Danio rerio: one gene and its partner. The protein of the gene in region 2 interacts with the protein of the main gene of each other region in a biochemical or structural test. Links are inferred from orthologs where the notes say so. Each region holds a gene or a part of one and is shown on either strand. Other genes may lie near its edges.

The links.
Region 1: the proteins of kita (region 2) and yes1 form a complex in vitro, tested with the Homo sapiens proteins (2 studies listed by BioGRID and IntAct, with this or other methods). The link is inferred for Danio rerio from reciprocal best matches to the Homo sapiens genes KIT and YES1.

Annotation. Positions count from the first base shown.
Region 1 is NC_133177.1:34,302,270-34,319,673, forward strand, and holds part of yes1 (tyrosine-protein kinase yes), read left to right. Parts: intron 1-225; coding exon 226-325; intron 326-1,940; coding exon 1,941-2,039; intron 2,040-4,107; coding exon 4,108-4,211; intron 4,212-4,291; coding exon 4,292-4,441; intron 4,442-8,604; coding exon 8,605-8,760; intron 8,761-11,837; coding exon 11,838-12,017; intron 12,018-13,954; coding exon 13,955-14,031; intron 14,032-16,342; coding exon 16,343-16,496; intron 16,497-17,404. UniProt on the Homo sapiens protein: Non-receptor protein tyrosine kinase that is involved in the regulation of cell growth and survival, apoptosis, cell-cell adhesion, cytoskeleton remodeling, and differentiation.
Region 2 is NC_133195.1:24,915,001-24,932,404, forward strand, and holds the start of kita (mast/stem cell growth factor receptor kita), read right to left. Parts: upstream 12,963-17,404; 5' UTR 12,878-12,962; coding exon 12,823-12,877; intron 7,794-12,822; coding exon 7,533-7,793; intron 3,810-7,532; coding exon 3,510-3,809; intron 2,382-3,509; coding exon 2,242-2,381; intron 123-2,241; coding exon 1-122. UniProt on the Homo sapiens protein: Tyrosine-protein kinase that acts as a cell-surface receptor for the cytokine KITLG/SCF and plays an essential role in the regulation of cell survival and proliferation, hematopoiesis, stem cell maintenance, gametogenesis, mast cell development, migration and function, and in melanogenesis.

The DNA of each region.
Region 1 (17,404 bases), on a different chromosome or scaffold from region 2:
AATAAACTCGTCATTCAGCATGTCTATAAATGCTTAACTAAACTCTATTATGTGGCTGGAATAGCATCTGATGCCACATTTCCAATGACAAATGAAGTTACCTGGGAGCCGCTAACTAGCTATTAGCGTACTGTTATGGTATTGCTTTTGTGAGACTGTGATTTCAACCAAGTGTTAAGCGTTTAACTTGAGTTGTTTTTTTTATTATTATTATTATTCTTGCAGGTGGCGTAACATTCTTTGTGGCCTTATATGATTATGAAGCCAGGACATCAGATGACCTCTCCTTCAGTAAAGGCGATAGATTTCAAATCATCAACAACACGTGAGTCCTTCGATTAAGAGGACCATTGGGATTATTTTTTGTTTTGGCTCTGGAAAATTGTGATCAGAAGTGAAATGTGTTGTTATGTTCGATACCATCAGTTATTTTTAATGAGAGACTTGTAGTTCTTGAATGTGAAAAATTATCTGTTATGCTTTTCGTATTAATCAAGAAAACTCGGTCAATTTAGTTGATAAATTTTCTTAGCGTGTCCCTTTTTTAGTTGTTTATGTGGATAACCACTGGTGAAAAAAAAAAATAAATAAAATTATATATATATATATATATATATATATATATATATATATATATATATATATATATATATATATATATACATATATATATATTTAATGTATTACACATACTGAATATATTTATAATATTTGTGATCAAAATAAAAACTGATCACACAATTTTTTTTAAATTGTTGGTTACGAAAGTCACTATGTCAGATTATGCAATTTTTATCTTGACTTGTCGTGGGTAACAAATGTGCCAGACTATACGTTTTGTGTACGATGAGCGTTATTTCTCAAAGCAGTCACAAGTGTTGCTATAACAATATTTCTTATCATTAATTTTAATGTTTTTTTAATCTTATGTCAATCTTAATAAACACTCATTGTTGCTGACAACTAGGCTACATTATTTATATATTTATATTATTTACATTCCTTATGACATCGATAGAATCAAATGTATATACATTATATACAATGTAAATGTATTGAGAAATTTTCTTATAAATCTAAATGTATATTTTTTTGCCAGGGTTGCTTATTTAACACACCCTCGCCTGAACTTGCTGCAAGTGAGACAGAGAAAATAAAAGCCTATCAGCAGCAAGGAAACATCAGATACCTAAGACATAATATTTAAAATAATGACATGTTAAAAAATTTTTTAAATATTTGACAGGTTTTTGATAAAACAATTACTGTAAAGCATTAAATACTTATTTTCATTGAGTAAAACAAATCATCCGAATAGTGGACGGGCACAAACAAAAATATAATTTATATATTTTTCTTGAAAAAAATATATTTTTAAAATGATGTTTTTGTTTGGTAAAATTTGTATCTTAATTTTAATGTATTTTTTGTTGGTCAGTTATCTACTGGGTAAACAAGAATAACGAATAACATCTGAGGTCACATCCTTCAAAACCAGTCATATATATATATATATATATATATATCTATATATATATATATATATATATATATATATATATATATATATATATATATATATATATATATATATAAATATAAATATATATATATAAATATATATATATATTCCATTGTATTTCATAAATGTTTAGGGCAAAATCCTGTCAGAGTTTATGCATTTCCATAATGGCCCATCTGCTCAACCACCAGCATGTTTAGCTTTCAGTGAACGCTCACTGCTCAACATCCAATCCCCTCACCCGGTCTAATGACCCTGACATTTTAATCATATACCTTTCATTCCTTTGCTATTCTGCATTTTATGTTGTTGCTAACAGCCTGCAGGCTCTTGTTTTTTAAGTTGTTTTCTGTTTGTGCTGTTGAAGGACATAAACCTTTTTTCCTCCCTCTCTCTCCCTCTATCTTTGGGCCCATAGAGAGGGTGACTGGTGGGAGGCTCGCTCCATCAACACGGGCCAGAAGGGCTACATTCCCAGCAATTACGTGGCCCCTGCAGACTCCATCCAGGCGGAAGAGTAAGTAACTCCTCTCCTCCTGTGCTCATCCAGTCATCTTATCCCTTCACGCCGTAATTAAGAGAGCGTGATGGCCGGTCACACGAACGCCCAGAGCCCTGGTGCTGACAAACACACCAAGAAACGCGTGACTGACTGTCAGACAAAAGACTCTCTTTCAGTTACAAACTTTACGTCTGACTCTCTGCTGTACTTCTTCTTTCATACTGGTCTGTTCTCTAGCTCCATTTATCCATGTTCTCCTATATCTCTTTGTAAAAGCTTTGTTTTTATTTTGTTCTTTGTAGATTTATCAATTAATTTATTTTCTATCAATTAACCTCACTTGTTGCTATGGTGACCAAAATTAAATAATTTTTTTTTATGTTTGCATCAGTATGTTTGTTTAAATGATATGTATAAGCTAGTGTGCTCCAAAACAATGACAAAAACACGTTTAGCTTAGTTTATTTATTCATAAAGTACAATAAAACAACTGTTCGTCACCTTAGAATTATAAGGTTCTAACTGACAATTTTTGTCAAAATTGAGTTATTGAAATATTCTTACTAAATGTAAGCTTATTTACATTATGGGATGTTTTTTATAAGTTGTTTACATTTTAAGATTTTTTATTTAAAAAAAAACTAATGTTACACACATACTGTTTAATATGGAATGCAAAAACTTTGAATCCCAATATCTCTGCATTTTGGATCACTTGAAAATTCCATTTATATGAGATTGGCCAATACCCACATAAATTGCGTTACAGTAGTCCAAGCGTAAAAAGCCTTTCACTTTGGCTGATAATCTCAACTGGAAAAACAAGATTTAACTACTGCATTTACCTGTTTATCAAACAAAAGCAGAATCAAGGATAAAACCTAGATTTCTTAGAGATGGTTTAATGTAATCGGATAAATTGTCCAACATTTGATTCGGCTTTTGCTTCTTCTTGTTTAGTTTTAAGAAATTCTTTGAAAATTTAGAAGAAGACGCTTTAATGGTTAAATAATTTTTTGACATCACATCATTTTTCAGTTTCTCATCAAATCTTCTGACTAATCAAATGCTCTTTAACATCTGAAATGTCCTTTCAAGAGGCTTTTCATTTACTTCTTATTTGATGTGGTTTATCTCAGTCACTAACTGGCAGAGCTATTATAAAAACGAAATGCTGTTGACTGTTTTTTATAAAGGGGTCTTAATGTTTCAATAGAGATTACGGGACATTTCAAATAAAAATACACATTTCAAAGCACTTCACAGGATGTAAACATGAAGTAAACTTCAAGTTCAGCTAATTTCCCATGTACAGAGGTAGAGGCCAGTGGAACACTATGTAGGGACTGGAACATGTCCATCTTAGCACAGTTTCTTGTTGGAGCTCTCTTCTAATCAGGTGTGTTAAGCAAAAGAGGTATGCAAAATAATCGGCAAGAACCAGGATTGACAACCACTGCTTTAAGGTGTTTAGTTTTATGTATGTATTCACAATTGTTCTGTTTTGTGGAGATTAAACGTATTGACATAGCACAGTCAATTTAGGTATACACATTCTTACATATATAGAGGTTGTACTAAAACAGGGGTGCACAAACTCGGTCCTGAAGGGCCGGTGTCTTGCATAGTTTAGCTGCAACATCCGTCAACACACCAGACTAGAAGTTTCTAGTATAACTAGAAAAGAGCTTGATTAGCTGGTTCAGGTGTGTCTAATTGGAGTTGGAACCAAACTCTCTGCAGGACACCAGCCCTCCACGACCAAGTTTGGCTATGTTGCAATGAAAAAGATGCAATAAATAAGTTTTTATTATGGGTATCACTAATATAACAATGTAGATTTAATTTCAGTTCATTTCTGTAAATCATTTCCATTGAATTCAGTTGGTGTCTTTTTAAAATATATTTTAATGTTGCACCAAAAAAATACAGTAAGAAGTATTGAAGTAAATCCTTTATGAAGACTTCATATATCAAATAAAAGTATAAATGAGTTTTAAAAATGAATGATCAAAATGGTTGGTCCACCACATTCCAAACCAATTTAAGATGGCTGACCAATATATTTATCTTTACCTCACAGATGGTACTTTGGGAAAATGGGTCGTAAAGATGCTGAGCGACTGCTGCTTCTTCCCGGAAACCAACGGGGCACCTTTTTAGTCCGAGAAAGTGAGACCACTAAAGGTAAGTAGACCGCAATTCATCTTAAGACATGTGCAACCAAAGCAGAGTTATTTTTAATCCATTCCTCACTCTCCTGGCAGGAGCTTACTCTCTCTCAATACGAGACTGGGATGAGATGAAGGGAGACAACGTGAAACACTACAAAATCCGAAAGCTTGACAGCGGAGGCTATTACATCACCACAAGGGCTCAGTTTGACACCCTACAGAAACTGGTGAAGCATTACACAGGTTAGCATGTTCAGCTGTGCCAACATTTTGAGTCATACTGAAGTTATATAATATTATGGGTTCAATTGTGTATTGTCTTCAAACGTTTTAGGTCAGTAAAATGTACATATTTAAAAATAAAAAGGTGCTATGATACTTTAAGGCTGTCAAAAATAGCTTTCATTTCGGTTAAATTTTTCAATTTAACATGTAAAAGTGTTACACAGCATGCAGTTTTTGTATTTTTTGCATAATTAGATTTTTTTTGTCTTTATAGTAACTATATAGTAATTATAAACGACAAATTTTTCTCCTCAGTAGGTCATGGATAAAATACGGTAATTCTTATGGTTTAATAAAAATAAATAGATTTTTGGAAATCACCAGGCAACCCCCTTCATTGTCAGGCGACCCCTCGGGGGGTCCCGACCCTCACTTTGAGAACCACTGATCTAAGGGTTTGCAAAAAAGGACCTGAAATCCTGGGCCCTACGTACATACTTAAGGAAAGGAGTTCAGATTTAATAAAAAAAAAAGTATCAACTTTTGCCCTTGACCAACAAAAAATTAAGAAGTCACATCTTCTATTAAATAAGAGATTAATTCTACTCCAAATATTTTTCTTCTACAAATGCAATGCATAAAATCACCATATAATCAGATCTTTAATGTTTACACTAGAAGTTTTAGTTGTGTTGTAAAAGTTAAACTTGAAAAGTTAAATCATTCTATAAATCCATCAAAAATCATTGTAATATGTTAATGTGGTGCTCAAGAAATTTGAAAAACTTATCAGTTAAAAACTTTATTCCTAATATATTTGTGTAAACATTTTGCTTAATTTGAAAAATAATAGGAAGCTCAAAAAAACTGCATTTATTTAAAATAAAATCATTTGTAATTATTTATATAGGTCACTTTGCATCTTAGCAGATTTAAAGGGCACTTATTTTACCCGTTTTTAAGATTTAAGAAGTCTTTTGTGTCTCCAGAGTATGTCTGTAAAGTTTTAACTCAAACCACCCATCAGATTGTTTATTAAACCTTTCAGAATATTAGAATTTTCTGCTTGAATACCTTGTAGCTGTTTTTGGTGCCTGTGCTAGTTCTCCCCGCCCATCGTTCCCAATTGCCTGTCAGAGTGTACCTCAATCTCCACCTTGGTTGCGTCAGATAAACAGCACAGTGACAGACATGAAGCAGATCTCACTTAACGTTTGTGAGAAATACTACAGTAAGAACTTTCCCAATGATTATTTAATGTATTTGTTTTGGAGTTAATTCAAGCCTTTTCGCAACGGTGAGTCACAACGATGTCATCACCAAGTTACACACAGCACGCGCATTTAACTGGCACGTTTTTGATAGGATAAACATTAATATCCACTGCTCAGTTATGTTAATGTACAAAATAAACATCATTTAACATCCACAAACCAGGCTTGAAGCATCTTCTTTTGTAATTGTACTGACGGATAAAGACGGTAAAATCGCCGTAATTCATTACAAACTTGAACTGTTTTAAAAACATTTTAGCTTGTAAAATTTATTCTTGATCGCATTTGATGATGATTGATGATCACAGAGAGCTCAACAAATCTTTTAATCCCAGTTGCTTTGCACACGTTCTGTCTTGTTGATATGATATTACTACATATATGCTTTACTACGGATATGCGTTACACTACAAATCGGTAGGTGGGGAAACTGCACTCCTATGCCATGTTGTTGTGGGCCTCAAAATGGGAGGCATTTGGATCCAATTTTATTTAAAAAAAATGTATTCATCAGGAAATAAAACAAAAAAAGAGACTTATTGTCTTTAAATCACTCCAATATGACTGTAAACACACTCTACCTACACACACAAAGTTGATTGTCATCATAGGTGCCCTTTAAAAAAATTGACCCAAAATGTGAGGGGTAGTCCTAGGGAAACAATAGTTTGTTGTACTTTCTTTCAGTTCAAATGTACATTAATAGTTTAATACAAACAATGACATGGCCAGAGGCGTTGTGTGGAGTACAGAAGTGTCATGGTGATTTGAAGCCTAGGGTTCTCGCTGTGACTAGCGCTAACAGGTGCCTGACATCTGCTGAGAGAAACATGTCCCCGTTCACCCAGACTGTCAGTTAATCTTGGCTTAGTTTACACAGGAGAATGTCTGAGAGGCCTTCTGACATCCACACCTCTTTGATCTTATGAGACGTTACGTGAGTGTCCTACCTGCGCTTTTGTAGATCACGTCAGTCACCTTCAAGCACTAGCCATTTAGTTTGAGTTAAGCAATCTGATGGTAAAGTATGTGGCATCATTTTAATCAACATTTTTAGCTTTTTTTGCCACACTTATTTTATTTTATTTTTTTTTAACTTTTGTTTTTTATTCGTTTTAACATAACGGAACAAACAGATCACCAGAGGCATCACATACAATTATTACATTCTTCTTATACAGTCGTTTTTATAGTACAGGTTACTCTCCCATCAGCCCCCACCCTAACCCGTCAGTAAAAGGTACTGTGTTATAAGCATAAACACCAACATAGTTTCCTTCAAGTCCATATGATTCAGTCTTTTATTTGCCACACTTATTGCTAGCATGTCAATAGAGTTTATAGATGCATCGCAATCTGAATACGTATGCACTATTGTATTCTGTCTTTTTTGAATACTTACTGTAAATGAGGAAAGGAAAGGAAGACATGCACTTTAAATGACCTGAAAGTGCTAAACTTTATCAGGGTATATGCAGGGTCTTAAAAAGTCTTACATTTTAGGCCTCAAGTCTTAAATCCACTGAAATATTGTGTTGTACATTTTAAATAATTTTTAGCGTGTCTTAATTTTCCTATGTCCGTTGTAAAGCTACGCCTACCCATCCAATCAGTATTGATATATTTCAATAAAAGCTTTAAGAAAGGTTTATTTATTAATTGTTTACTTATTAATATGGCCTAATTATCTTCCTTACAATAACATTTCTTTTTAAATTTGTTTTTCAGGTTTTAACTTGGCCATTTAATAATCTTTAGCGTTTTAGCACCTTGTTTAAGCCTGCATTTTCAATCATTATGGTCTTAAAATGGTCTTAAAAAAGGTTTTAAAAGTCTTAAATTTAACTTTAAACCTGTAGAAATCATGTTTATTAAATGGGAAAATGTGTAAAATGATGGACAATTTATACACAAAATACCTTTAAGTTTATACACTAGATAGTTGACTGATTATTGTATCTACATAGCATGTAGTACGTCATTTGTTACTCTCCTAATCATACAGCCTTACCATCTCCTTAGACAAACATTTACAGTAGAACAGTGTGTACCTATTCTGTTCTAGCATTACAATGCACCACCTACAAAGGGACGTCAGTATAGAAATGGTTGGAAGACTTTAAATAGAAGTTCTTCAACGCCCCCAAGTTAAGTTTTTTTTTCCTTTTCTGTACTCAGTTTCTCTTAAAATGTTTCCCTCCATCTTGTTATTAAACTCAAAAATACATCCTACCTTGAGCATGTTATGGAATGGTATTGTACTGCTTTTAATTAAAATAAATCCTAATTTTTTTGATAAATAGAGAGTTTAATTTTATATCTATTTTGATCAATTTAATGCATTCTTGGTGGTTATAATCTGTATAAAGGGGGTCCGGGTCACTTTTAATGTCTATATATTTTAATTAAATAAAAAATCGATAAATTGTTTCTGTCAGGCATTTCACACAAACTGTCGCAGAGGGCCTGTGAAAGTAACAAATTTGCTGTTCAGATTCGTCTTATCTGAAGAATGTCAAGGCGTAATGAAAGGCCATCAGTCCTTGTCTAGCACTCGCTATGCAACCTGCTTCGTAAAGGTTTTAATCTTGTTGTTGAAAGACAGTGACTAATGGGCTTTAAAGCTGGATAAGTGATGAATTAATGACTTTTACCCTTACCAGGTCATTTAGTAGCCTTGCTTTTTTATGATCTCCTATTGTGTGAAATTTGTGAACATAACACACACCTTGTTTAATTCAGAACATCTCATTTTACTTTTACTACTTTATGAGATTTGACTTGACAATTCTGTGTTGTCTACAATTGGGTATAATTTACCTTACTGGCTTAAGGGAAACTACTACTCTCATTTACCTAGTTTTATGAGAGCTCACTCTGACATCACTGTGTTGTGTGTGTTTGTAGAGCATGCAGATGGGCTGTGTTATCGACTCACTACAGTGTGTCCGACGGTGAAGCCCCAAACTCAGGGTCTGGCTAAAGATGCATGGGAAATACCTCGAGAGTCACTGCGTCTGGAGCTTAAGCTGGGTCAGGGCTGCTTCGGAGAGGTTTGGATGGGTAAGACATGCAAATACAGCTAGAGAGCTCACATTTTAACTAACATTTTGGTGTTAATAGATGCATCTTAATGTTTTGGGAGATTTGTTTACTAATGATAAATAAAAGTGCCAACTAAGATCTTCCCCTTAGATGAATTACCCTTAGATTGATTAAACTTCAACACTTTTAGAGTGGTGATCTCTTTCTTTTTTTCAGGTTAAGTGAGGTTTGATAATTGAACATTGTTTTTTTGTGCTGGTATCTTGGCTGTTTTAGGCTACTCATGGATAAATATGGCACTATAATATGGAACCAAAAGGTTATGGCAGGTTCTTCTCATTGAGTGATTCACAGAATCATTTATTAAAGTGATTTTTTTTATGCAAGTCACTGGCTGTTTCTCAATTCCATGAATGCAGAGAACAAACTTGCATTCTCAAGGAGACTGTTCTTGCCAGGTTACCTCGGAAGAACGATTTCGGGAGACAGTGAGAACACATCGCTTCCTCTAAGAAATGAGATGCTGCGTTTTTCCTGATGGTCACATGACCTTCATGCATTTTAAAGGAAAATTATTTAAACATTACAGCATTAATACAATGATTTGTTTTTTCCCTTTTAAATATATATAACATGCACAAAACCTTACAAATGTATTTTGCACAATACAAATAAAACCGGTTTTAATATAAAATTTAGCTAATATACATCCTTAATTTGTTTATAACTTTATTAAGAGTTTCATGGTAATGTTTACTTTCACTGTGTCATTTGAGAAAACTTCTGAGATAAATAAATTATATTTCGGAACTTTAATAATAAACATGTATAGAATTCTGTGCTTCCCACCTTCTTTATTCAGGATCAGCTGCAATGACTTCTGGGACTTCTCGGGGGAGTTTTGTGTTCAAGTCAGTGCATCCTCGATATTAAGAAGATATGCGGGAACTCTCACGCATCCTCTGTTCTTGCGGTCTTGGGTTTTAGAACTGAACTTTGGCAGCTGATGTTGGCATTACATGAGAACATAAAGACACAAAACCGGTGAAGAAAGCATATTAAGAAACAACCACCGTCTTCATGAATGAGTGATAGAATTACTGACTTGCTCTGTTTGTTTAAAAACAGGTTCATTCAGGATTAAAACACCACAGTGGTAGTGTTTGGTAGTTGTTCTGCTCTTACTTTGTTTGGGTTTTAAAAAAAACTCATATACAATATGTAAACCCGCTCAGTTTTAACTTCCAGTTTGTTAAACTGCGGAATAAAATCAAAACAACATATGCGATGATGCTCGCTGATATTGGAGAAAACCACACTTTGTGCATGTAATGACTTTTGTATTACCAACACAATCTCACTGCGATTCGAATCACTGATTGATTTAGTGGCTAATTTGTGTGAATATTTACGACCTCATTCGTATAATTTAGTACGATTTGCTCATCTCCAGTGACGGTTGGTTTGTGTTGGGTGTGGCGGCATGCCTCATTTTTAAAATGTGAATTAGCCAGTAAACTGACAAAGCAAAAAATAGTTACTTTCCTTTGTGAGATCAGGCTGGTATTACATGTCTTAACATATTACAAAAAGCAAAACCAATACACTACTTTTTGCTTTCATAACTCATATTATAGTGCCATTTTTATAGACTTCATCATACAGTCAATCCTTTCAAGATGTGTTTGTGTGTTTGTCAGCTCACACATTATTAGAGCCGCAATTACCATAATTATTGTATTCCATAAATATCACACACCCTAATTTCAGTTAATAATTTACAACTATTATTTAGCCAAAGTGCTTTATACATTGTCAGTTCACCAATATTTACACCTGCACAGACTTATAAACATTATAAAGTGTTAGGAGTGACTACAGCATTTAAATACTGAAGTGAATCCCTAAATTACACCATACTGAAACCACAGCAATTATCTGGCATCTCAAGCCTTTGGTATCTGATATTTTTTAACAAAAGTAATATTACATAAACCAAATATTCATTTTGATTTGTAGTTTTAACCAATTTATTGTCAACAGAAGCGTTATACTGTGTTAATGTTTAAGGTTTTACACAGTGTGCTCTTGAAGTGTTGCCATGTCCACTTATTATAAATGTCTTTGGGCTTACTGTTTAGGATACTCACATAAACAGAGTTGATGGAGTTTTGAAAGCAGGAAGGTGCAAGTTATGATACTTTGGTCTTGTCTTCAGAAGAAATCTTTTGTACCTAATTAAGTTTATTATTGTACTGTATTTTTCAAGCAATACCTGGCAACACAAACAAGTCAGGTCTAGTACCTCTTTTTCTGGGACTTTCTTGTATTGTGTGCATGCAAATGGGACACTCTGCTCTAATAAGTGTTTAAATGTAAGTAACAGTTCGTTGTTATGTGCCATACATACTGCATAGTTTCTTTCAGTGTGTTTGTCACAATGCGTTTGTCAGGAGTTAATTCAGTTACTGAATGCGGCTGTCACTCACATAAAATGCTGAACTATACAAACAGACTTGCGCATTAAACTTCAGATTCATTCAAAATTTTCTACATGGCAAAAATACAGCAGAGTTTATATACTAGAGTGAAGTGTAAAAGGGTGTTATTAGGTATTTGTCTGTCATCATCTCTAGTAAACTCGTCCTGCTGCAAGCTCCGGCATGTCACCTCATATCAGCAATGTGAGGAATTTCTCTTATTGTTTGTGTATGTTTGTTTCAACATGCACAATAGCTTCCACATAACCATTCTCTCATGAATTGGCAGTCTGTGCCATGGCTGTTTAAACGGTATTCTCAAAAACAAGGTGTGTGTGTGTGTGTGTGTGTGTGTGTGTGTGTGTGTGTGTGTGTGTGTGTGTGTGTGTGTGTGTGTGTGTGTGTGTGTGTGTGTGTGTGTGTGTGTGTGTGTGTGTGTGTGTGTGTGTGTGTGTGTGTGTGTGTGAGAGAGACTGTATTTGTAAGAGTGTGTGTGTGTGTTTTCCTCAGCCACATTTCTTTATCGTTAGGTTTTTAAATCAAATCATTCCTGATACTTTCGATTTACCAAAGTGCTGCATTTATTTAGGGTTAATTTCTTTTCCCTTTTTCTAGGCACTTGGAATGGCACGACTAAGGTAGCTATTAAGACCCTGAAGCCGGGCACCATGTCTCCCGAAGCCTTCCTGCAGGAGGCCCAGATCATGAAGAAGCTCCGGCATGATAAGCTCGTTCCGCTGTATGCTGTTGTGTCTGAAGAGCCAATTTACATTGTCACTGAATACATGGGCAAAGGTAGCTGACACTCTCTTTCTTTACTTTCTTCATGTGTGTTTATTTATCAGTTCAAGCAATGACACAGCAGCAACTTAATAATATGCAATAGTAATTTGACAAATTGATTTGAAACAGATGAAGTTTGAAACAGATGGCATAGATAGATAACTACATATAGGTTAGCATGTTTCTAGTTTGGATTGGCATGTTTCTTGCTAAGTGGTTTATGGGGTGTTCTTAGTAGTTGCTATAGTGCTGCTAAGTGGTTGCTAGAGTGTTCTAAATGGTTGCTAAGGCCTTGCTAGGGTGTTCTGAGGTGTTGCTAAGATTGTGCCAGGGTGTTCTATGTGGTTGCTAGGCTGTTGCTAAGGCATTGCTGTGGTGTTTTGACTGGTTGTTTAGACGTTGCTAGGCGGTTGCTAGGGTGTTCTGAGTAGTTGCTAGGCAGTTGCTTACATAAATTAGCATGGTTCTAGTATGAATTAGCATGTTGCTAGCATGTTTCTAGCATAAATTAGCATGTTGTTAGCATAGTTCTAATAATAATTAGCATGTTGCTAGCATGTTTCTAGTATGAACTAGCATGTTATTAGCATGAATTTAGTATGAGTCCAACCTTAAGTCACAAAGTTTGGTCCAATGTTAAGTCAGTGGGACTTGTCCAAATTTTCCAGGTCAGTTTTTGGAAAAACGAAAATTGGATCAGTTGAAAAAGATATAGCAACTTAATTCAGTATAGTTTGAAGGTTTGGAGTTGCGTTCCTAACAGTCTTAGAAAAAGAAGACGGAAGAAGAAGAATAAGTTTTGGTAGTATAACAGTATGTTGGCTTTCTCAATTCACCATAATAAAAAAGGGAAGGTTTTTTTAACGTTTTTTGCGTTTTGGAGACATGAAAACAAATTAAAATGGATATTAAGCTGCAAGATGTTCTAAAATTATTGTTTAATGTACTAAATTTATTGTCGCAAGAGTAATGTTAACACCATTACACAAATTATATATTTATTTTATAGATCATATGTTTAAATATAATATTTATGAATCCTACGTTTAGATAAAAAAAAAAAATTCTATTAAATGTGAAATAGTTAAAAAAATTGTTATTATTAAGAGGTGACATACTGCTTTGGTTCAAAAAGTTAAATTGTTTTCTGATATCTGCATGAGTAGGTATATGCCTTAGGTAAGTTCAAACCTTCTCCAGAAATGGTTTTAATTTATATACTCGTTTGTTACCCCCATAAAATGCACCACAATCAGAAAATCCTTATTGACCATATTAGGTTGGTCATGAATGTTAATGAACTCCGCTCTGATGCAGCTCACAGTACCTTTTTCTTTCTCTTTAATGTGTGCAAAATAATCATATTTAATGTTGTGTTTTAGCTACGAAAGGCTGTGCTACATTATATAGTTGGTTTTTAATTAATGTTGTAAATATCTTGTCTTTGTATCATTTAGGCATGGGCCGGTATAAGATTCTGACGGTGTGATAACCTTGGATAAAAATATTTCGATTTCATGGTATTACGGTATTGTGCTCACTGCTCTAAAATATCTTCTTTTTAAATGTCTGGGTAAAAAAACTAAAACTTTTTTCCCTTTAAAAAAAACTCAATATATTCTATTTTTCTTTTAGATTTATGATATTTTGGAGCAGTAAACACGTCAGGCTATATAATTCAAATAAATCATTGATGTTTTCATTTGTTTTAAAAACACAGATTTTTTTTTACAGTTTGAAACGGCATCTTTACATATTTTTTAAAAATAAACAAACCTAAAAAACAACAACAAAAAAAAATGTAAATAAAAAATCTTACATATACATTAGAAGCGTTATTACAGATTTTTCCAAACCACAGTATACCTTAAGAACGGTTATCGTCCCATGCCTAGTGTCATTTATAATACATGTTGGAAAGATCTTCAATCGATACCTCTGTCTTTCAGGGAGCTTGCTGGACTTTTTGAAGGAGGGTGAGGGTAAATACCTCAAATTGCCCCAGCTGGTTGACATGGCTGCCCAGGTAAGAGAGAGAAACCCAAGCACTGTTAACCAGCCAGCTTTGTCGTCCTCTTCCACATTTAGTAACACACACATCCACCCGATTATGAGCAGAACCTGGATGGGCTGCATTCTCCCAGAGCGCCATGGTTTCAGTTTCAGATTCCATCTGCCTGTCATATTTATTTAATATCTGATATGACATCCTGCTGCCCACACATCTCTCTCTGGCTCTATGATCCTCATTTCCCGCCTAATGCCTGGAGCACTTAAACGCCACTCCTGTGGGGCCACTTCACTTAATGTGTCTACTCAATTCTGCTCTGTTCGCTTAAAAAGCTTGCCATTGCTCGCTCACGATCCTCTCTACTGCTCCATCCCTCTCTCTTTCTGGTCTCCCTGAGTCCCTTCACTGCCACTGAGCTTGGCTGAGGCTTCAATCTTCCTCACACATCACAGTTTGCGAGGAGACGCTTATGAAAACCTTTTGGACAGCTTTTAAGTCTGAGATTATTTCTTACGTTCCCTCAAGAATGTTGCTTCCCATTTTTGAGTTCTCCTCTTTTAAGCTTGTTTAGCAACCTGTTTTCATGCTTTAGGGCCTACTCACACTATGCCATCCGTACTGTGCCCAGGCCCGTTTCCTGAATCGTTTGAGAAGTGAGTGCGCTGAATCGGGCTCAAGCACGGTTCACTTTGCCGGCCCTGGCCCGGTTGGAAGAGGTGGGCCTGAGCGCGGTACGTTTGTAGTGTGAGTGCAAAACGCGCCAAAGCCCGAAACTGAAAGCAAGACGTGACTTTTAAGAGACTGTTTCATATGGATTTATTAATAATTCTTACTGTTCAGTGAACGCAAACTGCCGTAGCTTATTAAATACGCAAACCCCTCACTGCACGACAGCTGCGCCTTCAGCAGACCTCCTCATTCCTGCAGCACAAAAGCTTTACGATTGTTTATGAGCCCCAAAAGTGGCGGTTCTGTTCGGCGAAATATCTGACTGCGTGTCACCACATCCCTAAGGACTGTTTGGCAAAATATTTGACTGCATGTCACTGCATATCAAACTGACTGGAACGATATAACTAGAGAAATTTCCACTGTGCTGCTAAGTGAGAACGAGTGAGAGCGCTTCTCACTGAACAGCGCAGCATCGATGACGTAAGCGTGCCCAGGCCCGATTGTGGTGTGAGTGCGGGCCATCGGGGAAGACGGGAGGGGGGAAAAGTGTGCTTTGGCCCGGTTCGAGGCACTGTACCTAGTGTGAGTACGGCCTTGGAGACTTGCCCATCAGCAGCTATTTAGAGTTTTCACATCTGAAAGTTAAAGCACAACATTATTTTTTATGAGATTGATCGTTTGACCTTTAGAAGATACATTTAGGCAAGAAGTCGGAGTATGTTTTCCTAAATTATAATTTATTTTTGCCAAATTCAGATTTTGTGCCTTTTAAAGATTTTCTGGATTGCATTTATTCGGTTCGTTTTATTTTTGTTCTGCTTTCTTTTTTTTTAATAGTTAAATTACATTTTTTAAATCAAAATGCTTCTCTCATTAATTTTAGTAATGAAACATTTTGAAAATGAACATTTTACAGTGACCATTCCCTTTTTATTTCTGTTAAATTAGTCTTTGTTTTTCTCTTTTTCTCAAGTCAACTAATGTTTAAATTATATTTTAGAAATTAAAATGGAAACTAACGTCACACAACTTACAATACAATTTAACATTTTACAGTAGCATTTCTGATTTTTTACAGCAGTGTTATGAGCTCAATCATTATTTTGCCTCATTTTCAATTTTATTTCTGTTAAAATTACATTTTAAACCTTAATTCTTTGGTATTTTTATATTTTATTATTACTGTTAGCTTTTTATGATTATTTTAGTTAATTTCATCAAGTTAAACTTTTATATTGATGATGTGTAATGCCTTTTCTTTCTTGATCACACATGACGATAGCATTTTCAAATAAAATTATGTGAAATTTAAACAAAAAACAATGTCCCTATAGTGAGGTTGACTGGAAAAAACCACACATCACAAAGTGCTTCAGTATGTGTAAACAATTGTGCTATTCATTCACTCCTATTTATTTATTTTTTTTTTTTTTCTAAAATGTAGTCTTTATTGTTATTTGATTTAAGTACAAACTGATTTTAATTTATTCATCGAAAAAATATCCAAAATTAAATGATAATAGGGATCTTAAAAAATGTGACTTTCCTGTGCCACTAAAATATCATTTCCATGACAAGATGTGGAGAGACAGGTTGGCTTTTCTATGGGTTGCTGTGAGTTTCTGGAGGCTTGATTTCCTGTTGTCTTGTCTAGATTGCAGATGGCATGGCCTTCATCGAGAGGATGAACTACATCCATAGAGACCTGAGGGCTGCTAACATCCTGGTGGGAGACAATCTGGTTTGCAAGATTGCTGACTTTGGCCTGGCTAGACTAATCGAAGACAACGAATACACTGCTAGACAAGGTACACGCACAGAAATACCATGTTAGCACTTTCTATAATCAAGCTTGAAGCAATAGTTGCATAAATTCCTGCTCACATTTTGTCTGATTGTGATTTTCTTAAATAATTACTTTAAATTCCAGTCATGCATTGGGCTAAGGGAATGTTAAGTGAATGGATTAATATTTTGATCTCTCTCTATTTGGTAATGTGAGCAGTGCATTCTAATTCTGTATTATCCCCCCCAAAATGATGTGATTGTATCAGTAGATTTATATTCCACTGGGATCAGGTTGTAAATTAAAAGTGCATAAAAATATTAACACTTTTTATAATTAGGCTTGATCATAGGCCTGGTCATAATTCATCAGATGAATATGAATGTAATGAAGATTAAGATGATTGTGAATATTTAAAATAATTAGAATTATTATGCTTTTTCAATTCCAATCATGCATTGCCTTCCTACTAAAAGAATGTCCTGCTATCTCAGCGATGTGTTAGGTGAGCAGTGCATTCTAATGTTGTAATATTATTATTTATTATTTCACATTTAAATAATTACATTACTACAATAGTATTCCACTGCTTTCATGTTAGAAATGAAAAATGAAATGAGGAAGTGGGAACAAAAAATGTGAACACTTTCATAAATATGCACGAAGGGATAATTGCATAATATCCTGGTTATCATTTATCTGATTGTGAATATTTTAAATAATTATAATTACTATGTGCTTTAAATCCCAATCACATATCCAACTGAAATAATTAGAATTTTATGGTAATTTTTGGACTCTCTTCTTGGTTTATCAGAATGCTACGTAAGCAGTGAATTGTTATATTATAATATAACAATAAAAATATCATATTTATTAATTTACTCTGGGTTTAGGTTGTGAATAAACAATAAACCAAGTACATAAAGA
Region 2 (17,404 bases):
ATGGCCTCACAGCTGTAATTGCCGGCGTCCTGCATGGTCACAGAGCTCAGGCTGAGGATGGCCGTCCTCACGTGAGTAATGGGCTCCGTCAGAAGATGTGAGTTCTGGTGTACTGACGGGTTCTTGGCACATGCAACAGAAAAAACAGACAATAAACTGATTGGGCAACTATGGAAAATATGTGCATTGGCCGTGTATTGGGTAAAGTGCTTGTGGTTGTCTCTATGTGTGGGTGTGGCTGTTTTTCCAAATCTTTATGTAAAACAAAGCGTGTTATTCATCCTTCAAAGATCGGTCTCAGATGCCAGTGTGGTCTTAATGACTGACTGAAGATTTGTTTATGTACATAGCTTGTGTTTTCACACCATAGGTTTGCCAAAAATGCAGCTGCGAGTCCTGAAAATGTACGGGAGTTCACAGATGTGATTGTCAGTGGTTGTTAAAGCATAAGTTTAACCAGAAATTTAAATTATCCAATGATTTACTCACCCTCAAGGCATCTTGGGTGTATATGACTTTCTTCAAGAGTTATATTAAAGAATTTCCAGGCTCTTTCAAGCTGGCGGCAAGCGGGTGTTTGTCTTTAACAGTCTACTCTACAAAAGTCCAATAAAGTGCATCCATCCATTATAAAACCTGCTTTACAAGGGGGTCTTTCTGGCAGATGACATGCTGTAGGAAGTATGTGCAGTGCATGCTCCGTTGAACATTGAACTGCATTTGTCTTTCATCTTTTAAACATGTACAACAGTATGCAGAAGTTACACAATACTGGTGATATGGTTTGGTAAAGTAGTAAATCTCAATGTGCTGGGTAAATAGTGAATATGGATATTTTCTTACAGGAATGCATCAGTTCACAACAGGAGATGTTTACTCACCCCAATCGTTACGAATGGAAGTATTTTATGGGACTTGTTCTGGACTGCTAAAGAAAAATACCTGCCTGTTGCTATTGCAGAGCTTAAAAGAGCCAATATTTTTCAAATTAAATAACTCCAGTTAAAATTGACAGAAAGAAAAAAGTCATATAGACTTAGGGAACTTTGAGGGCACCGGTGGACCCTCCCACCCCCTGTAAATAACAGTGTTTAATACTTTAAATAATTGTGTAAATAAATAGTAAAATCATGAATGCTCTCATGGCACGAACACAACGGCTTGAAGTTCCAGACACTAGTAAAACATCTGTTTGTGTATATCCCAGTGTAGCAGAGGCCAGCTAATAAGCTATACAAGGCTCACTCCTCTGATATCAAGGGGTGGTCTGGTGGTGGTTCTCAAAGTTTACAGTTTTCCTCATTAAAGTGCCCATACATCTTCATTGCCATGATAACCTTTATTATTTGATTTGGAAGATGTTGAACCAGAAGGGTTACACTTTAAAGTTAAATGTTTGTTGATGTACTTTCAATTGAATAGTAAGTAGGAGGTGTGAATTTCTTTTTGCACATTATTCCCTCATAGCAAACTAATGGTAAGAGTGGTGTGGTCAAGAATACTGACATCAACAGAAAAATACTTCACTCAAAACATAGTAGCTCCTGGGGAGACTTTGATTGAAAATGACCAAAACCATTTCTATTCAGTGGACTAACTAACAAACATTCACCCAAAGAATAACAATGTACATTTTGATTTCACACAGACTTTAGCTGAACTGTGTGCGAACAACTATATTTGATCACTTTATTTTGATAGTCCGTTTGTTGAATTTAAGTTACATTGCATCTACATGCAAACTAATTCTCATAAAATTTTAAGTAGACTGTTAGGTTGAGTTTAGGGCTAGTGTAAGTTGACATGTACTTGCAAAGTTTCTTATAGTCGGTTAAATGTCTGTCGAAGGAGCAGTATCAACAGATTATAAGCAGACAGTCTACTGATACTCAAATGGACCATCAAAATAAAGTGTTACCCTATCTATAAACCTTGATCATATAAAATTCAAAGGAGCCTTTCAAATTGCACATCGTTCATTTTGACAAAATATTAAGTACAAACAAAATTTAAACTGTCATCCTCAGTGTACAAACACTCAACTGATCATGGGTACACAAACTTCCTTGTGCACTCATACCTTCTGTATGCTTTCTATAAGTATGCTTTGGAAAACAGTGGATTTCTTTGACAGGTGCGGTGTTTACTAAAGCCTGCAGTATGTACAGTTTATATATGAGTGTGTTGTGGCCATAGTGTGCTCAGGTAAACAGGTGAGAGCTGGTTGGTTGGTGATCTTACCACTCCGTTTGGAGCCTTCCACTTGACTGCGATGTCGCTGTTGACATTTGAGGTGGAGCAGGATAGGGAGAGTTTTTCCCCCTGGGTGAGCAACACTCTTTGAGGCTGACCCAGTGTGATCGGAGGAGGTGCGTCTGGAACTAAAAGCAAAGAGCTATGATGCATTGTATCAAAGCAGCAGGAACGTGTGGGAAAGGAAGAGCAAGCTACAGTGGGGTTACATGGACATGCATTTGTCTGGTGTCTGTATGTGTACTCTTGTTATGTTTATTAGTGCTGGCAATCAATGAGATGGTCTGTATTAAATAAATAATGTTATAGTCCTCAAAAATAAAAGTATAATTGTGAACAAAATTACTTTTTTCTTTTAAGAACGCTTACCAAGGCTGCATTTATTTGATCAAAAATACATTAAAAACAGGAGTATTGTGAAATATTAATACAATTGACCATTTCTATTTAAATGCATTTAAAAATGTTATTGAATTTCTGTGATGGCTGAGTTTTTATCATAATTACACTAATCTTCATTGTCATGATTTTTCAGAAATATTGATAAAATCCTGATTTGCTATTTATTGTAGTCAATGCATAAAACAAGTGAGCTTCTATATATTCTTCTTGAAACTGTGATGCTGTTTTTTAAGGTTGAGCAAAAAGCTAAAGGGAAAATTTATTTTAAACTTAGGCAGATTTAGATATTTCCTGTCACTCTTGATCAATTAAAGGCTTTCTTGGCAATTAAATTACTGTATTTTATTATTATGCAGCATTATTTTAAATATCAAAAGTATATATATATATATATATATATATATATATATATATATATATATATATATATATATATATATATATATATATATATACAGTTGAAGTCAGATTTATTGACCATTACAATTTTTTTATATTTACAATATGTCTGATAATATTTTTCCTTCTGGAGTTACTCTTATTTGTTTTATTTTGGCTAGTAAAATAAATCAGTTATTAGAAATAAGTTATTAAAAATATAATGTTTAGAAATGTACTGAAAAAATATTCTCTCCGTTAAACAGAAATTGGTGAAAAAAAAAAACATGGGGGCTAATAATTCTGACTTCAACTGTATATATATATATATATATATATATATATATATATATATATATATATATATATATATATATATATATATATATATATATATATATTTGTCTTTCTTAACTACACTTCAGACTAAATTGACAGCTCTAATATTCATGCATATCTCCATTTTTGTCTCTCACCAAGCCGAACAGTAAGTTGATATCTTCCTGATTTAACCGTAGCGGCATCCAAAGTTCCGACGCAGACGTAACATCCCTCAAATTCCTTCCTGACTTTTTCCACGGACACTCCTGTCTCAAGACTGGCTGAATATCGCAGACTGTTGGGAAGGGGCTGTCCGTCACATTTCTGCAGGTTCAAGTTTTTCATATCTGGGTCTGTTGCCAAGCATGGGATCACCGTCGTATCTCCTTCTGCCGCAACAATGTCGAACACGATGGTCCTCCTGAAGGGATTTTCAGGATCTGCTGAGAGGAATGCTAAATCAAAAACCAATGAAACACAACCAAGGGGGCTTAGATCAAGACTTTACAGCTCAGAGAAAGAGAGAAAGTGAAAAACAACCCTCCATCATACCTAACAAACAAATACAAGCAACCCACACCAACAGTGTTTACACTTGGAAAAACAAATCTGCCAAGGACTGAGTTTAAGTGTTCGTTAAGTTGGATTATAAGAACATGCTTGAAAAATCACATGGCACAGAATGACATGCAGGTCATGCAGGTAACAAGTAAACAAAGAGGGCTGAAGGTTGGTATTTGAGGCATCTGTGGGTGTATATGGAATGATATAGGAAGATGAGAGATGCTTGAGCATGTGTTCGTAGGAGAAAGAAAGGGAGAGTTAGGGAGGAAGATATAAAGATAAAGAACATAAACAGTTAGAACAAGTACATGAAAAACACATGTAATGGAGCAACTGTATTTTCTATACAAGTGGTGAGCCTACTGTTTATAAGGCTCAGAGTGGCACTTATATTGACTAATAATGCACAATTAATTGCTGGCTATATCGGTATAAGCCAATAAATGATTAATAATGGATGGTTAAGAACAATCATTGACCAATAAATCATATATTATTTCTGCCATTTGATTTACTGAAAGGGATATTTCACCCAAAAATTACAATTCTGTCATCATTTACTCACCCTTTACTTGTTTCAAACCTGTTTATGAGATAGTTTCTTCTGTTAAACACAAAAGAAGTTATTTTGAAACATGTTGGAAACCTGTAATCATTGGTTTTCATAGTATTTGCTTTTCTTACAATGGATGTCAATTGTTTTTTAAAACATCTTCTTTTGTGTTTGTCAAAAGAAAGACACTTTGAACCACTTGAAGGTAGGTAAATTATTGGTAAATTTTCATTATTGAGTGAACTATCCCTTAAAATAGAGATGCCCAAATTAGGGCCCGCAGGCAAATAATGGCCCATTTTAACGTTTGATATGGCGCACCATCATATCCGAGAAAGGAGTACAAATGATGGGCAAGGGCGAATGAGATTTTTATTTCTAGTTGATAATTATATTTTTTGTTTGTTTGTTTTATTGCTGAGCTACAAAATAAAAGCCAACTGAAATTGAATGTTTCATTTAAATGTTAAATGTAAATACGTTAATTTACTTTGTAAAAATATAAATATTGTCACTCAACAGATCGAGAACAATGTACAGTAGAAGACATCTTCGAGCAAATAAAGGCAAAATCAGGAACAGTTGACTAGCATAAATCCAATCTGTTATAAATTAAATCTTTTTTTTACTGTAATAAATTCATGATAAAAATGTAAAAACAAAATTGAATACTGCATTAGTTAATACAAAGCAGTGCTTTCTAGTTATTTTTAAATATTGTTAAATAAATTAGGAAGTGCCCATGGCAGCTACATTTACCTTTGGCTCTTCATAATAAAAAGTTTGGGCACCCCTGCCTTAACACTAGAACCGCCGGAGGTCAATGTATTCCTAAAATCGCCAGTGTAGGTAAATTATATTTAGAAATTGCTAAAAAAAAAAAAAAAACATACTATTTCCCAGTTTTTCGCCGCTGTTAACAAAAAGTGTCTAGACTCAGGAAATGATTATTTTATTTCCAAGTGATGGGTTGAAGCTGGAAGGGCATCAGTTCTGCGTAAAACATGCTGGATAAGTTGGCCATTCATTCTGCTGTGGCGACCCCAGATAAATAAAGGGACTAGGCCAAAAAGAAAATGAATGAATGAATGAACGAATGAATGAATGAATGAATGCATGAATGAATGAATGAATGAATGAATGAATGAATGAATGAATGAATGAACGAATGAATGAATGAATAAATGAATGAATGAAAATTATTTTTAGAGTAGGTTATGAGTAGGTTAAAATTTCTAAATTGCAGCCATCATACTCTGATGCATAACTTATTTCTCTAGACTGCCTCATTTGTTGCATTTTTTTGTTTTTAATAGCTCAACAAACCATCTTCTTTTAGTCATTGTGACTTTATTCATTTATTATATCCATTAATTCAGTAAAACTGAAAGTAAAAGTCATTGGTGAGTAATTTTAAACATAAGCAGTGCCTAAATACAAACATTTTTCTATAGTGGTTAAATTTAACCCACGCTGGTGCGTATAGGTATAAATGTCCCACTTTTTAATCTTTTTTATCCAAACAATTTTTAATATCTGGGAATTGTAAATAAGGCAATTTTAGTAAAGGTCAATGACTGGGAGGCTTGAATGTCTGTTATGTACATTTGAATAACAGTTATGGGTAAAATTGACCCCATGGCGGTTCCAGTGTTAAAGACATGTCTTGCGAGCCATAAGCGATTTAATCGGTGTCTATTACATGGAATGATTTTGTAAGAAAAACTGAATTTGAGAATTGTATCTGTTTGCTTGGTTTTCTAACCAGGTTTTATATCAAGACCTGATTTGATTTCTAAATAAAAAGAAATATTGGTTATTTTATTGGTATCTTGCAAAATGACCATACCTAATTCCTAATACAGTTTCTCAATCCAAACAAATGAAACACAATTTATTTACTGATTTTTGTGGAAGAAAATAAAAACCCTGCATAGCAATTGTAAGAAGTAATAATCCTTTCATTTGCATCCTCCAGTTATGCTAAAGCTAGAATGTCAAACAAGCTGATCTGATCCAATCTCATCATTCCTCCCACTATAACATTCCACCCCGATCCAATAGACCCTTATCACATTTCCGGGTTTCTCACTAGCGGAAGGCGTCATAGCTAAATAAACTTAAGAGTGCAGTGAATGGGAGAGTACAACAAATTTTATTCAGTCCTATTTGTTGAAATAATAAATGAAAAACTCCACCATGGTGTTATCCAGACTTTCAGAAAAAGGGAAAAAAAACATGTCAGACTGATGACGGCAATGAGAAGAGAGAATAACATCAAAATTACTCTCAGCCCCATAGACACTGCATTAAAAACACCTCAAACGAGCAGGAATTAGTTTTTTCTAATTTGACGCAAAGATGATATACATTCATAAATGGATAGATATGTTTATACGTTTTTTTAAAAATATAAATATAAACCTTCAAGGCTTTAAGATTATGATGATTGTTAAACTCATCATAGCAGTCTTGTGAATAGGGTCCATTGGTTGAGTATCTCAACATTTTCACATTATGGTGGAAAACACTGCAGTATATCATCTTCATTATAGTGCTGTAAAGGGATCCCAGATGTCCTATATTGAGGTTGTTTAAATCAAGACTGCCTGATTCAAATATACCTGATCTAATACTGTTTAATAAAGTTTGATTGGTCCAAATATATATAGAGTTTACATGTATGGTACTGTTTGATCTCTACCACTGAGTTTTTTTCTACAAACTGTTGTGATAAATACAACCAATAATGACATCTTTATTTGTTAGAATTTAAATTTTAATTTATTTAATTTGAGAGTTTGTTCACTCAGTTTTTGCCTTTGCCACTGGTCTGTACAGTATCTCTACTAGTATCTATTCAAACTGTGGCATGCAGGTTTGCGAACACATAAAAATGTGGTAGCAACAATCATGCAGGTATAACAAACAAGGCAGATGCTAAATTACATACAGTAAAGGAGGGTTCAGAATTCCTTAAATATTGCCCTACAGACATGTCACTCAGCCCAGACAATTTATTACACCCAATTAAAACACGCTCTATAAAAGATGCACTTACCTTTCACATACACATAGATTGAGCTCTTTTCACCAGTCTTCTCCTCTCTACACGAATATTTGCCCAAGTGTTGAGGGCCGGCTCTGTTTACTTTAAGAATTGTCTGTTGACCCTGTCTTTGTTCCTCCTTCAGGGTACGCATGGGACGGTTTTCATGCTGCCAGCGCACTGTACTGTTACTCTGGCAATGCAAACTGAAGTTGCTGTACAGTGGTACTGTTAGCCGGGGACCTTCTGGGGTAATGGTAGGCCTCGACCTGCCTGAGAGGAAACGAGAATGTTTAACATTTGATGAACATACAAGAGGATAGACAAGTACGTACATATTTTACACACACAGACATACAAACCAACACACAAACCAAAGCCCTTGCATAAATGGCAGTTTTGGGTGTGTATTGGACAGTTTCACAATTTCAATTCAAAATGTCTATACCGTGTTCCTCAAATAAATTTCTCTAGAAATGGCAATTTCAGACAGTTGAACAGCTGCTCATCTAGTTTCGCTCATCTTATCTTAGATTCTTGATTGAAGTATAGCATCTTTTTACACACAACGCTCCAATCATTGCTGCAATTTATTATACAGATGCAACCTTTAATTTAAGCTTTAGAGTTTTAAACAAATAAAGGTGTAGTCATCTTGCACTTCTCCAACAGACTGAGAACATGGTGAAAATGCATTTTAAAAACTGCAAAGAAACAAAGGAAAACAGTCAAACTAAAAAAAAAAAAGCATTTCTTTGTAACATGGAAATAAAATTTGCAGCTGTTTATATAAATTATATTTTTTTCTTAACAAACACACCGATAAAGCAAAAAGGACTTATTTTTTGGAGGGAAAATATTTACTCTCCGCAGTTGCTATAGCAACTTTTTAAAGAAAAATACTCAAGATAGTACTCTAAAACCACTGGAGCTCTTGATAAAAAATAAATAAATAAATTTCTCTCTCTCTTTCTCTATTTTTTTTGTGGAAAAATATGTTTTAAATATGTGGAAATATGTTAAGTAAAATGTAAAATGTTAAGTTAGTCATTTCTTTCTAATTTTAGATAAAAGTATATATATATATATATATATATATATATATATATATATATATATATATATATATATATATATATATATATATATATATATATATATATATATATATTTCAATTTTAGTTACTTTTATTTAAAATAGGGTGACACGGTGGCGCAGTGGGTAGCACAATCGCCTCACTGCAAGAAGGTCGCTGATTCGAGTCTTGGCTCGGTCAGTTGGCATTTTTGCCAGGAGTTTGCATGTTCTCCCCGTGTTCCCGTGGGTTTCCTCCGGTTTCCCTCACTAGTCCAAAGACATGTGGTAAAGAAGAATTGGGTAAGCTAAATTATCTGTAGTGTATGTGTGTGAATGAGTGTGTATGGATGTTTATGCAGATTTTCTGCGTAAAACATATGCTGGATAAGTTGGCGGTTCATTCCACTGTGGCGACCCCAGAATAATAATGGAACTAAACCGAAAAGAGAATGAATTAATATACAGTTAAAATCAGAATTATTAGCCCCCCTTTGAATTTTTTTTTTCCTTTTTAAATATTTCCTAAATGTTGTTTAACAGAGCAATTAAATTTTTACAGTATGCCTGATAATATTTTTTTCTTCTGGAGAAAGTCTTATTTGTTTTATTTCGGCTAGAATAAAAGCGGTTTTTATTTTGAAAAAACATTTTAAGTTTTAACATTCAAAATTGTTCGCTCCTTTAAGCTATATATTTTTTTCAATAATCTACAATACAAACTAGTGTTATACAATAACTTGCCTAATTACACTAACCTGCCTAGTGAACCTAACTAACCTAGTTGCTGCATAGAAGTGTCTTGAAAACCTTTTAGTAAAATATTATTTACTGTCAACATGAAAAAGATAAAATCAATAAATCAGTTATTAGAAATGAGTTATATATATATATGAAACCCACACAAACATGGGGAGAACATGCACAGAAATGCCAACTGACTCAGCAGAGGCTCGAACCTGCGACCTTCTTGCTGTGAGACGAGAGCGCAACCCATTGTGCCACCTTGCGTCGCCTATACAAATAAAATATTTATATAAATAATTTAATTATCGATTTCAGTGATTTAAATGATGAATTTTCAGCTTCATTACTCCAGTCTTTAGAGTCACATGATCCTTTAAAAATAACTCTAATATTATTATTATTATTATTATTATTATTATTATTATTATTATTAATTGTGATAGTAATAAAAAATCACTTGAAACTACATACAATAAGAAAGCATGTATTTAAATTTTTAATTAATATTTAACAATTTAACATTTTTTTACATTTAATAAATGCCACCTTAATAAACAGAATCATTAAAAAAACAAAAAACAAACAAACAAACAAACAAACAAAATGACCCCAATACACTGTAGTGTGTATAAATCAAAGATTATGGTATCGAAGTGTAAGAATGGTTTGTGGTATAGCTAATAAATTCTGTGCATTAAGCCGTGATTGTTTTCTGTAGTTAGCTTAGATTGATAGATAATCATATTAATGACTCCTAAGTTAATGTTTAGATGCAGAAGCAACTTAAAAATAAAGGTATGTATGAATGGTATGAATGGAAGTATCTTCAATAAATGTTCAATAAAACATTACTTTTTGCATCTGCTTATTTCAGTCTTGATTTCTGAGAATGTGAGAAAGGAGGTAGGGGGTACGCTACGGCCCCCATGGTTGCCTCAAGTTAAAATGAGATAACATGATAAAAATATAGAAGCTGTGGTTTAGCCTGATTAGCTGCTTGCCTCAGTGCAAACTGTCACTCTGTGCCAAGAAAACAGCATCTGCAAAGTCAGGTGTCCTTCCAGAGAAAAACCTAAGCACAACCGTTCCATGTTTACTTGTCTTCCGCAAAGCTCCAAACACCAACACCACATAGACATATAAGAATGAGAGAAATACAACTCTGAGAGTAACACTAGTAAAGCAGATTATCACCTTGTCACCTCATTGGTTAAACCATGCAGAGAGTTTTTTTTTTATCTTAATTACACCATTACGACAGCATTATGAGTTGCTGAACAGAGGTGATGTAAAGGAGCTGAGTGTTCACTATAAGCTAATGATGCTTGATAAATATGATAGCCTGCAAGATCAGTAACATTTAGTCCCAGATGCAAACAGATCTTTCATTTATTCATAGGGACTTGTGATACCATCGTTAGTCACTAGAGGCACCAGCCTACATGCAGAACCAATTAATACATGCAACACCAAAAGGCTTAGTTATGAATATAATTATTATGCTCAAACGGTTTATATCAGGGCATTAAATAATTATGCACATTTGTTCCATGTGAACGACTTCTCATGGCTGTTATCCGAAAGCCCGTAGCGTTATCGGTTTAAAAGAACCCGATGCAAAGTAGTCAATTGAGCGCTGAAGCCCTCTGGCGTTGCAAAGCTGATTTTCAGATTCATGCCAAAACCACACTAAATGCGTGTGCATGTGTTCTGCATTGTCCACGCTCGCTCTAAACCTGATCATTTGAATTGAATGAAGTCCTTCATACCACGGCTCTGATTGCCACGATTCTACAGGTAAGCCTCTCTAAAAGCGCGTTCGTGAAATTTAAGCAAAGCATCACAACAGATTCTTACTTGAAACGTAAATTCACCACATGAAAAACAGCAGTTGAAAACTAACTAAGACAAAAAGTATCTTTGTTTAAAAGCACGAGTTACACTGGGATAAAAGTCTGAACACATGATACGCAGTGGTCAGTTAACAGATGCAGTCCAGACTTGCCCCTCATCTTTTAGAACATCCATAAGGGCTTATCTGAGCAGTACAAAAGACCATCTGATACGTCCATGAGGTGCCAGCGAGCCAAAGCAAAAAAAAAAAAAAAAAAAAAAAAAAGTCAGGGTGAAGCATGCAAAACATCTTCAATGGCTTTTGGGATAAAACAAGGAATTCCAGATCATTTACATACAACCTTTGTCCAGACTAAAGGAACAATAATAAAATTAACCAAAAATGCAAACACATTAAGGCATTTTTGAAAACTCCAACAAACTTTAACCTTAAGGTGTAATTTTATCTTTAGATATCTTTTAAAACTCGTGTTTATTTCTGGTCATATATGCTGCCCATTCCTTAACATTATTGATATCAACGTTCTTAGAAAGTTTAACAGCCATGAAACCTTTATTTCCCACAAAATGTTTTTATAGTGGAAAAAACAAGTTATTTACATGTTTTAAACGTTCTTCGTTTTAAAACATGTCCACTCAGTGTTATGTCATTAAATTAAATTAATTTTGAACAATCAAAATTGTTCTTCAAAGGCATTGCACAACAAACTTTATGTTAATTCTTGACAAAATAAAGTGTTTTAAACACAGTACGTGTTTAGTTAATGTTACTGGACCTAAAGTGCTGAAGCTGGACACTGTTGCTATGGCTACCTCCTCAGATGACCGCGATTTCTGTTCGCAAATGTCTACTTTTGTCGACTTTTTAAAATGTAATTTGTAGCAGCATGTATAACTAAACGCCTAGTAAAAAAACATTTGTTCAAAAGCTTTCCAATGCTTTCAAGCGACAATGCGTTCATCGCTCACCGTGCCATTTTATCTAAAAAATAAACTTGTGTAATTGTTTTAGCGTCTAAACTCTTTCCTTCACGTCCCTCTCCAGCTGAAACAGGCTTCATATTCCTCCACTTGTTGCGGAGACGCGCGCGCGCTCGAGCCTGAGTGATGAATAATTGAGAGCAGCGCGCGGATCGGCTTTACTTTACATTCTCACCTGCCGCTCTCCGGATCAATATCTTGTTTCAATGAGCGGTTCCTGTAACTGCTTAAATTCCTGATATATAGAGTCTCTGCACGGTAAGTGAAGAGGATATGATTCACAGGGATGATCAGTGGAAACTCTCACAAGCTGTTTAGATTTTAGTTTTCAGAGAATGGGAGAGCTCTGGACTGACAGACCAGCATGAAAGCCCCGTCTTGACACACAATTAAATTATAATGAAAGACAGAACAGTGTGTAGATTAATATTAAACTGCTTTAATAATGAATCATGAGTAGAAGCAACAGGTCCATACATTATTCTCAGAAAGTAATCCGTTTTGCTTCGGTAGTAACTCAGCAAGGCTCTCTTCTCAGCAAGTGCACATCCCTACTCCTCACTGAACAACTTCTAGTTTATCTTTAAGCTTGGGGAACAAAGTAAGACCATAAAAAAAGCAAAAAAAAGATAACAGCCGCCCTACCTGGTTGGATGATTAACTGCAACAAAACAGTAAACAGAACGCAGTGATATTCCATTGTTATAAGTCCATCTATCTCATGTGTGTTGTATAGTCTTGGAGCTCGATAATAACGCCGAACGGTCGCCTGCGGAGCGATCACTGCCGTCTTAAAGGGCCAGCCTTGTTTTCTACCTTGTAGCCTGCGCGCGGGTCATGCGGAACGACGAGCGAGCCTGGGCGGGGACAGGGAGGTAACAACATCAACAGCAATAATGCTAGTCATACCTGAGACGCACAAAAGAGGTTACAAGTGCCACGGGGTGACACGTGGCTTGTCAGAAGAAACTGTGAATTGCCCATAACAAACTGTATAATGATAAGTAGGGCGATCTAATTGATTTATTAGACTGCAGATTCAATACAGGCTCCTCTTTGTGTGATAATGCTGATCTGTCAATGGCGAATTTGCAACACAAACTAAAACATTTAGATTTTCACAGAACTTCATGGAATGTTATTAGCACACAAAAAAAGAAAAGAACACAGGCTGTGTATTTCCAGATGCAAAAAGAGGTATAAAAGATAATTACACATCACCTTATCTCATGATAGCAATAATGTTTACAGCATGAGGTGATAGGTGAATGATTTAGCAGGGGGTTGTAGGTCTGCTGTACTTTCCTTTTCATAAACCATGCACATTGGTTTGATTTATTTCACAGTTATCACTGATTTTGACAAGCACATCGTGGGGTAATTAGCTTTGGAACCAGCAAGATTAGCCTCATCTGCATCATACTTTGATTTTGTCTGAGAACAAAGAACTATTAAACATAAATGAGTGGATAGTGGTAGTATTGTTTTAAGCATTTGTTTGTCATTAATGTCTGTGAGAGGCTTTGTATCTTTCCTAATCTGCTCCACTGATATCCAATATTTGTATTGGCTTTCAAAAATAGAATGATTGATATTTTATGCTTTTATTATAACAAACAACAGAGTTTCACTATACTTGTCATTCTAACATATAACTTAAATGTGACAGCCGAACTCCACTTCACCCTGTTATTTACCCATATTTCTCAATGAGCCAGTAGCCAGGAGTCATTTTGAATTATAAAAAAAAAATAACATGTTGCTATTTTCCCATTCTTCAACATCATCTTGTGATTTTGCATCATTCCAGACTCTGAGATAAACACATTCATTGTTTTTTTTTGTTTTTTTTTATTCAATATTGAACTGTCAAATGTGAAATAAAAGTGCTGAACAAGTTCAACAAGGCAAATATAACCTTGAGGGAAACAAAATGATTTTGAATGGTTCTCGAATATGCCCAATGATTGTGCCAATAGAACAAAATGTACAAACATTAAAATGGATTTATATCCTACACACTAGCACAAATTAGTTAAGCCAGCTGCTGTAAATCATTCCACATATATACCCATGGCCTCATTAAATCGGTATTACTGCGCCAGTGTGTCTCTGTGGTACAGTATACATCATGCTTTTCAGCAAAATGTGTTGCAAATAGTTAAATATTCACTTATTAATATACAAGTGACACCATCATGACTATGACAGTTGGCTTCATTTACCTTTAAATCATCTTTGAAATAAAAATATAGTTTTTTCTTGGATTAGTATACTTGTTATGAATTAAAGGTGACATTTCCAAAGCAGCTTTAATGAAAGAATGATATATAGAATGACAAACAACAATGTAAAACGTAACCCAATATTCAATTTAACTCGTGTTTATTTATATAGCGCTTTTACAATGTAGATTGTGTCAAAGCAGCTTAGAAGTTTAGGTAACCTGAAAATGTGTCAATCCAGTTTTCAGATTTAAATCATCCCAGTCAATCAAAATTAATACATTTAGTAACACTTTAGGGACCAATTATCACTATTAATCTTGGCAGTACTATTATTATTACTTTTAAAGCACTGTTCTGTATGATCTTATTCTACATCCGTAATCCTACCCAATACCTAAACTACATTAATAACTGTTAAAAAGGAGCAAATTAGGAGTTTATTTAAGCAAAAGTCAAAACAGTTTGCTAAGAGTGAGAACTGAAACTTAAAATAAAATTGTGACGAAAAATTCCATCCAAGTATAACAAAGTATATTGCAATATATATTGCAGAAAAAGTAAATATTGCAATGTCAGATTTTTCCAATATCGTACAGTCCTAGTAATCAGTACATTTTATAAACACGTTTTGATAGTTCAGTAAGATTACACATTTATAACCTAGTGAAATACAAGATGTAAAAGTACTGACATGTAATATCAGAAACACTGTCGTAGTATTTTGTTTTAAAATAATAATGAACACTGCTACCATTTTTCCCATGAAAAGGTATTTTTGGTGTAATAGCTATAAATGGGTTATGGGATTTTCTAAATATTAAGAACATTTGTATTTAAATGTAAACAACAAAGAAAAAGCACTCACTCACTCAGAATAGTCCAATAAAGAAGTGAAGGTCAGGGCAGGAAGAAAACAAACATAAAACAAGGAACAAAACAGGCAGGGCAATATCCACAACTGAAAAACGATACTAAGCACTGAATGTGTGTGAATGTGGTGCTTATATGCGTGTCATACATTCCCACAGGTGTAGTTTAATCAGAGTCAGATGGGTCACAGCTGTAGCTGGGTTACTGGTGTAATGCATAGTGGGAGGTGTAGTCCAGGGCTGCGTCCGAAACCACATACTTCCATACTATATAGTACGCTAAAATTAGTATGCAAGTCGAGTAGTATGTCCGAATTCATAGAATCGAAAATAAGAATGCGAGAAGTACCCGGATGACTTACTAATTCCTGTGAGATTCTGGAGTGCGCATCCCATGCTTGCTGCCCTGCGAGTGAATTTATAAATGGGAGTGAAGCGACACAATTGACAGGTAGATCATGTGACTATGACAAAATGGCGAATGTAGTACGTCTGAATTCCATTCATACTTTTCACATTCATACTGTATAGAACTTACTTTTCTAACGGCTGAGTAGTACGTTTAGATTCTAATGCAGTACCTACTGAGTAGTAGGCGGTTTCGGACCCAGCCCAGGTGAATGGCAGGGATGAGGGATGGCACTCGTACTGTTGACTGTATAATATGTTACTGTTAAAGTCAGCTTGAATCAAAAATATTGCTGAGGCTTTTATTTCAGTAGGGATGTACTTCCATCTGAAACAAAATAGTCATGAGGGGCGGGGCTATATTTTTGCTAATCACTGCCTCATAGCAAACTAACCGTACAAGGGGTATGGTAAAAATATTGTGACTAGTCAAACTAATGTCAGCAGAGAAAAACTTCCACACCAAATGCACTAGCAAATGGACATTTCTTTTCAGTGGATTAACTTTCACATTAATTGTTCACCAAATGAATAACAATGTGTGGTATGTTTTTATTTTCACATGGATTTTAAGGTTAGCTAGTGTGTTCCAAAACGGAGATAAAAGTTGCCTTTAGAAGATACAGTATGTGATTTCAAAATTTGCAGTCTTTCACTTTCACCAATATGAATCAGTGTTTTGATGGCATCACTCTGCACTTTACAGGTTCTTATCAGATATTCCAACTGACATCACGGTTAACACGGTTGCTCAATGGCTAGCACTGTCTCCTCACAGTGAGAAGGTTGCTGGTTCAAGTCCCGGATGGGCCAGTTGGCATTTCTGTGTGGAGTTTGTAAGCTCTCCTTGTGTTCACATGGGTTTCCTCCAGGTGCTCTGGTTTCCTACAGTCCAAAGACATGTGGTATAGGTGAATTGTATAGACTAAATTGGTCATAGTATATGAGTATGTGGGTATTTCCTAGTATTGGGTTGCAGCTTGAAGGGCATCCGCTGTTTAAAACATATGCAGGATAAGTTGGCGATTCATTCCACTCTGGTGACCCCCAATGAATAAAGGGACTAAGCCCAAAAAAATGAATTAAATTGTTGAATGAGAAGCTAAAGGTTTATTCTGCTTCAATGATTTATACTAAGCTCAGCTAAAAGTGCTCCTGTCAGATCCGGAAATTGGTTAAATGGATTAAAGAAGATACAACTGTAGAAAACTTGTAAAATTAGTGTATTTACAAAAAAGTGGAACGTTCCATTAAAGCTGTAGCTGATTATGGTCACTTGTTCCCACAAAGCATATCAAACCCATTTGAATTTTACACAATTCATAGACAAACTCAGCACTATACTGTTAGACTGTGGCTGTGATAAGCAGTTAGATGTGGCTGAACTAAACTGCCCTGGCTGGGCTTTAATACAAACAAAACTCTACTGCCTATTAAAAAATAATAATAAGGAGGAGCTGCTCAACATGGCCCCCATCTTCCTGTATCAGTTGATATTACATCAACACATTAGATGGGGTTAAGTGTTTCAAGGCACTTCAGAGGACATTCAAAGTTTTTGGTTTCAGGTACAGTGCAGTACTGCATGTTTAACAAAATGTCTTATAGATGAACTCACACTGTGCCATGACCCGGGTCTGGTTTAAACTATAACAGCACTCTGCTGAGAGAAAAGCAGACGTATGTTTGTGAGGAAATACCATATGTTGTGTTAAAAATAAA